Linked DNA regions of Saccharomyces cerevisiae S288C. The protein of the gene in region 1 purifies or fractionates together with the protein of each later gene. This does not show direct contact. Each region holds a gene or a part of one and is shown on either strand. Other genes may lie near its edges. The genes, in order: IWR1 and RPB4.

Region 1 (3,745 bases):
AATGGCAAAAATCCGTTAGCTTGTTAAGCTCTGAATCGAACATTCCTACTTTAATAGAGAAATTGCAAGGTTTTTCAAAGGATACATTTGAATTGATCAAGACATTTTTAGTAGATTTAACTTCCTCTAATTTCGCGGATTCGGCAGATTATGAAATCCTGTATGAGATTAGAGCCCTATATACTCCATTTCTACTGATGGAATTGCATAAAAAGTTAGTGGAAGCCGCAAAGTTGTTAAAGATCCCAAAATTTATTTCGGAAGCCCTGGCATTTACCTCATTGGTCGCTAATGAGAACGACAAGATTTATTTATTATTCCAATCTAGTGGAAAGTTAAAAGAGTATCTGGATCTCGTTGCTCGCACAGCAACCCTTTCGAACTGATCAATTAATGTATTGCAGAATAAGTTTATATTTTAAGTAAACAGCAATAATTTTATGCATTTCTTCTATCTATTTCAGAAGTAATTGACGTGATTTTTTATAGTTTTGCTTTGAATCTTTGTGTTTCCACACCGGAGAAAAAAAAGTTCATGAAGTGAAAAAGCGGTTAAACATGAATTTTCTACTATCTAAAGATAAAATTACAGATGCAGTTACTTACATACATTGAACAGTTTCTGACGGCAAATTTAGCTTCTATTAATTTTTTTCTGTAGCTGATGAAAAATTCTGTCCCTATGATGCGCCAATGGGTCATCAACATCCGTCGGAAAAAATTCATTTCTAGGGTATTCAATATCATCTCCTTCATCAGAATCATCTTCGTTATCACTTATCTCTATTTCACCTTCTTGGCCATCCAAGTCAATGAAATTCGAGGAATTTATGGATTTCAAGACATCACTTTTTCCTCCAAGCCTGTTAAAAAGATCCCCGTACTCTTCCTCCACATCGTGGTACCCATTAGATCCCTGAATTTTATCGTCATTCCAAGAGGAAAACCTGCTCTTATTAACCCCTATAACAATCTCTTCACCCAATGCAGCTATATCCTCTCCTTCGCTACCAAATAGAATAGATCTATCATCATCTTCATCCTCCGGATAATCATTTTGGTAATAGTTTTCGTCATTAGAATCCTCATCGTCTGAACGGGCTTCATTGGGATCACTTTCTTCATCAAGAGCCAAATCTATATGCTCAATAATTTTCACAAACCCTATATTTTTCTCGTTGTTATATCTAGCAACCTCATCGTCATGAATTTTCTCCAAATGGTAGATGTCAAAAACGTAATCTAAACTGGGTAGTGATGCAATTTTTGCAGAATCCCCAGTAAAATATTTCCTACTTGGTTTTTTTCTTTCTGTCTTTTCTACACCTTTATTCAACTTTAAATAGTCATTCACCATTTGATTGATCTCTGGCGGTAACCCATCGTCATCTACAGTACTTCCTTCTGCTGCAAGCCGCTGTTGTGATTTTTCATCATCTGAGTCTCTACGACTTTTTTTTCTTTGTTCCAATACAAAATGTCGATGATCTTCATGAGCCAGTTTTAAGAGTGGCGTAGAAGACTCTTGCTCGGATTGATAGCTTTCAGAGCTCACAGTCTTTGATAATTTAAATATGAACTTCTGCTTCTTCACTCTTTTCCCCTCATCAATTACTGAATTGTCCCAGATGAACTTAGTTAGTCAAACGCATTTTTGTTATATCGGTAGAATAACAACACATACATAATGCCTGCACAGAATCCTCATCCCTTCTTCTCTTTACTCTGATAAACTCAGGTGCCGTTGTGGTACTAATAGTGCTCATTCCCGAAATCTTGTATGCCTACCTCAACAAAAGCTATACCTCAGAGAGCAGTTTTATATACCATCTCTTGTTCTCATCAATAACTTGTCTTGAGCATTACACAATTTAAATCCCCTGTGCCGACACAAACAAGAGATAACCCGGAATCAATATTATCTGATTGGGCTCCTAAATATCGCATCTGTGGACTTGAATCCACATGCTGCGAACTTATTTGAAGCAACAATTACTTCTGTTGGAAGCGTGGTAGTGCCAAATCAGACTTGCTCTTTAGTTTTCTTATGTTAACGCTTTACTGCCTTTTTCTTCTATATTTTTGAACGTCAATATGTAGCGGGCGTCAGCAGAGGAACAGAATTTGTGACACTTCTTGAATGAACATTTCTCATATCTGAAACCGCATCATCAAAAGGACACCTCAATAGAGATTCAGTGACATATTTAACATAGTTTTATGGGTAAGAAATATTATTAATTATGGTACGCAAGAATAAAATAAATAGAGCGAGTGGAACTACAAAACACCTCAAGGATTTTCCATCAGTCATCCTAAGTCTGCCCAGCTACAACCCTTCCATCCTTTCTAAAAATGCAACTGCACTAATAACCGGTGGTTCTAGTGGACTCGGATTTGAACTTGCAAAGGAACTTTCCAGAAGAATTAATAAAGTTATTGTGGCAGATATTCAATCATTTCCTACTTTTGCTCAGGTAGAATATAATAACATTTTCTACTATCAATGCGACATAACAAGTCTAGATGAAATTAAAAATTTGAAAAAAGCTATTGAAAGAGATCATGGCAACATTAATATAATTATAAATAATGCTGGTGTTGCTCACATCAAAAAGTTAGAACATATGACAAACAAGGAGGTAGAACAATTGATCGACATAAACTTAATAGGTGCTTACCGAATCATCAGTACATTTGCAGAAGATATGATAGACAATAGGGAAGGCTTTATAATTAACATTGCTTCAGTCCTCGGAGAACTGACTCCTGCAAGGCTGACATCGTATGGTGCATCAAAAGGAGCAATGATTGGTTTTCACAAGTGTATGAGCAGGCATTTCAGAAGTTTGTCCACGGAATGTAATAAAACTGGAATAAAAACACTACTGGTGTGCCCGGGAAAAATCAAAACTAATATGTTTATTGATGTCCCTACACCATCTAAGTTATTGGCTCCTGACATCATACCTTCCCAACTGGCACTAGCGATAATCTCTGCGATGGAGCATAATCATCTGCAAACACTAAATGCCCCATATTATGTGAACCTAGTTCCCTTTTTCAAAACTTTGAGTTGGCCATATAGGCATCTCTTAAAACATTTCAGTGGAATGGACCATGTAACGTCAACCAGCCCGCGAGCAATAAATCCGAAGAGAAGTGCATAATATTTTAGTCTATTTAATACATTTGACGTTATTTGATCTTCACGTTGTTTATATATATATATATCAAGTATGCTATAACGCTAAAAAAAAATGCTCATAATACTATGCAAAATCTTGATGTCTTTTGACTTCTTTCCAAATTTCTAAATTTTGACGGGCATAATTTCTCATATATCTGGAATAATGCTTTAAAATTTCTGATAAATCTACTTCCCTTTCTTTAGAAAATTTAGGTAGCTGGTCATTTTTGATGACTTTTGAAATGACCTCCAAATCATTCTCAGTAACTTCCAATGATTCAGACAGTTGTTCAATTTCTTTCTTCAAATTGATACTTGCGGTATGCGGATCTGTTTCTTGATACTTCACAGAATCTTTTACCATTGATGCCAATTTGTTAAATCCATTGAATAGTTTGCCACCATATGATTTCCCACCGCTACCTGTATTATTATTAGGGCGTTCCAGATTAATAGTATGACTTTTAGACATTTCGTTGTCAATTATTTTGTCAACATCCTTATATTCATTGTTTTGCGCTTCCAGCTTCTCCAACTGTGCTCTTTTGGAATTCA
Region 2 (3,432 bases), on another chromosome or scaffold:
AACGACCACATGTCAATACTGGTTGAATACGGTATACCCAGTATAATTTCAGGAGCACGATAAAACCTGGACTGGATGTATGTATAAACGGTTCTTGCCTCTTCGCAAGATGAGCCAAAATCAATAATTTTCAATTCCGGCTTATCAGGTGCGCAGAGCAAGATATTCTCTGGCTTCAGATCGCAATGAATCAGTTTGCTTTCCTTCAAAACGCATAACGAATCCAGTATTTGAGTGGTGAATGTTCTGATAAGTTGTATAGAGAGCCCATGAAATTTGTTTTGTTTTAATAATTCGTACAAATTATTGCTTAGTAATTCAAACACTAAACATAAGTGGTTCTTGTGGACAAAGGAGTCATACATCCTTAAAAAATGATGTTTATTAGTAGGGTCTATCTTTTGATTCAGTAGCTCTAAAATTTTAGCCTCCGTTATACTTTGAGTCAAATATTCTGTCCTCGATTTAACCACTTTTACAGCCAATATCTCTTTCGTCAGCAAATTTTGACATTTGACCACTTGACCAAATGTACCTTGACCCAAAATGTCTAGCACAAGGTACTTTCTGTTCTGCTCTACACCCAAAACGTCATTTACATAAAGAATATAGTCACTGTTTATGTTGTCGAATCCGTTGTTACATTTCCCTTCACTGGGCTTCGTAAGTACTCTCTTGGGGTTTTTGGACGTTTGGTAGGTAAATTCTGGAGAACATAAAGAATATGTGGTAATCAGGCTTTTCGTGACACTGACTAGGGGAGATATCGTCTTGGAATTGAGCGACGCACGTCTAAACTTTGGAGTAGCATTTAAGACAGGTTGAAGATCGTTTTTAGAGTTGCAAAGTTGCATCTGAGGAATGGACAATTTCTGACCTTGTACTTCATCTCTTCGTAACTGCTTGAAAGGGGGTTGTAGTGGGGGACTTGTACTAGGAGGATATGCGCTAAGCCTCCTGTAAGGTGACATGACTGGTATGGAGTTTGTTCCTTGATTAGTATTTGAATTTAGGGAAGAAAAATTGGACGAATAATTAGTTGCAGCCAGACTCTGCCTTCTTTGGAAATCTTGACGATCATAAAGGGAGGGAACAAATCTGGATCCAAATTGGGAAGGATGGATAGCGCCCTGCTGGTATACTTGCTGTTGTTGTTGTTGATAGCCAGAAGGATACTGGCCACTGCTATTTCCTGCCAAACTCGTATTAGAGCTGGTGTAAGCGGGATAACTATCGTACTGGAAAGGATTTGGGGCAGGTGCCCTGGCTGGAGGTACAACGAGACTAGATTTACGTCGTCTGTACGCATCTAGACTTTCGTTACTGTTTAAGTCATCGTATTGAGGGGGATACACCAGGTTTTGTTGAGAATTAGTTACTTTTTCCTCATTCCAAGGGTTAACAAAGCAAAATTGAGAATTCTGTTGTTGTTGTTGTTGCTGCTGCTGCTGCTGCTGGTGATGATTCTGATGCTGCTGCTGTGGAGACCTTTGAGAGCCTTGATTTACGTACGATGGATTCCATATACCTCTCCCCATATGGCTATTGTCTGGGCTTGCTCTACCCGAGCCCATACTAGCATCACTGTGGGTCACAAGGGTCGGGCTCAAGGAGTTATTCATGTTGCTATTGGAGCTGGACGAGTCGTTATTATTGGATGAGTTCATGATTGCTCAAATTAGCATGTGAAAAAAAGATAACGAAATTATGTTCCCTTGCACAATGGCTGTTGCTCTTCACCAAAATTCTTCTTTCGATATATTCCCAAATCTAATAGTGAGAAATTTGTGTAATACCCCCAGTAATGGCCCACCAATTGTTTCCTTATATCTGTTTAGCATTGCGACTCATTCATTGTTCAGCCCAGAAGGGGTAAATCTGAGGAGGGGGCATTGCTTGCAATGGTTCAGAAGGGGCGGTTAGGGTTAATAAAGCCATCGCGCTATTTTGATATTTTTATTAGGCCTTTTATATTTTTTTTAGTTTTTTTCTCCAAATCCTAAATCCTTTTTAGGTGTCATTTACGTGCAACGCGACAATAGTGATATTGTCATTCTTCAAACTTTTTGCAAGGTAGCTATTAAACATACCTACACACATACGTACATGCTTAACGGTGAGACAAAAGTAAAGAAAGAGACTTGAATGGGTTGCTGCATCTTAATAAGTTGAGTTTGAGGGCGAAAGTACACAAATATTCATCCGTATTGAAAATATATATATAAGAATATAGAAAAATGAATGTTTCTACATCAACCTTTCAAACAAGACGGAGAAGATTGAAGAAAGTGGAGGAAGAAGAAAATGCAGCTACTCTACAACTGGGCCAGGAATTCCAGCTGAAACAGATAAATCATCAGGGTGAAGAGGAGGAATTGATTGCCTTGAACCTAAGTGAAGCCAGGTTAGTAATCAAAGAAGCTCTTGTAGAACGTAGGAGAGCATTTAAAAGATCGCAAAAAAAACACAAGAAGAAGCATTTGAAGCACGAAAACGCCAATGATGAAACTACGGCAGTAGAGGATGAAGATGATGATCTGGATGAAGATGACGTCAACGCTGATGATGATGATTTTATGCATTCTGAAACTAGGGAGAAGGAGTTGGAGTCTATCGACGTTCTGTTAGAACAGACAACGGGAGGAAATAATAAAGATTTGAAAAATACCATGCAGTATTTAACAAATTTCTCCCGATTTAGAGACCAAGAAACCGTCGGGGCAGTTATACAGCTTCTGAAAAGCACTGGGTTACATCCTTTTGAAGTGGCGCAACTAGGTTCTTTGGCCTGTGACACAGCTGATGAAGCAAAGACTTTAATTCCAAGCTTAAACAATAAAATATCAGACGATGAGTTGGAAAGGATACTAAAGGAATTGTCAAACCTAGAAACACTCTATTAATAACTGTATGTATACGTGTGTGTAACTAGTAATGAATTTTCACCCTGTGGAAGTTAGGCCTATTTAACAGGAAAAAGGACAGGATTTTAAATCTCGTCTTGCTCTTCTTTTAAGAAATATTTGCCGCTACCGTTTTTCCACCATCTCATCAAACAACTATGTGGGGTTATATCTATGACACTTTCATCATCGCTTTTGCATCTACACCTCTGATCGAGCCTAACAGCGTAAGATGCTGGACAGGTGCCAAACGGTGAGTGAAAATAGCCAAGTTCGTCAAAATGAATGATTTCGTCAGGTCTCAGCAGTAGGGAGACACCAATTGAATGTACAGGTGCGTCACCCCACCTTTCGTAGTAAAATCCGCCCTTGGCATCTAAAGTTTCAAAAAAATGCTTATATTCGTCACTTCTGAAGAAATTCAAGTCGCCAATCTCAAAATTCGACCAAAAATGGCACAAATTGTAGTCAGAGTTTGCTTCAACAACGGGATAATGCTTACCAACTAGCCCTGAATCGGTCAAAAATG

What was found.
Region 2: the proteins of IWR1 (region 1) and RPB4 purify together in Saccharomyces cerevisiae (affinity purification with mass spectrometry; 5 studies listed by BioGRID). This does not show direct contact.

What each region holds. Positions count from the first base shown.
Region 1 is NC_001136.10:253,361-257,105, forward strand, and holds IWR1 (Iwr1p), read right to left. Parts: upstream 1,767-3,745; coding exon 1,685-1,766; intron 1,615-1,684; coding exon 635-1,614; downstream 1-634. Other genes in the region: NUP84 (Nup84p), read left to right, coding at 1-386; YDL114W (short-chain dehydrogenase/reductase), read left to right, coding at 2,244-3,170; ATG20 (Atg20p), read right to left, coding at 3,273-3,745. UniProt on the Saccharomyces cerevisiae protein: Directs RNA polymerase II nuclear import. Binds RNA polymerase II in the active center cleft between the two largest subunits in the cytoplasm.
Region 2 is NC_001142.9:148,724-152,155, forward strand, and holds RPB4 (DNA-directed RNA polymerase II subunit RPB4), read left to right. Parts: upstream 1-2,237; coding exon 2,238-2,903; downstream 2,904-3,432. Other genes in the region: serine/threonine protein kinase YAK1, read right to left, coding at 1-1,667; mannosyltransferase YUR1, read right to left, coding at 2,990-3,432. UniProt on the Saccharomyces cerevisiae protein: DNA-dependent RNA polymerase catalyzes the transcription of DNA into RNA using the four ribonucleoside triphosphates as substrates. Component of RNA polymerase II which synthesizes mRNA precursors and many functional non-coding RNAs.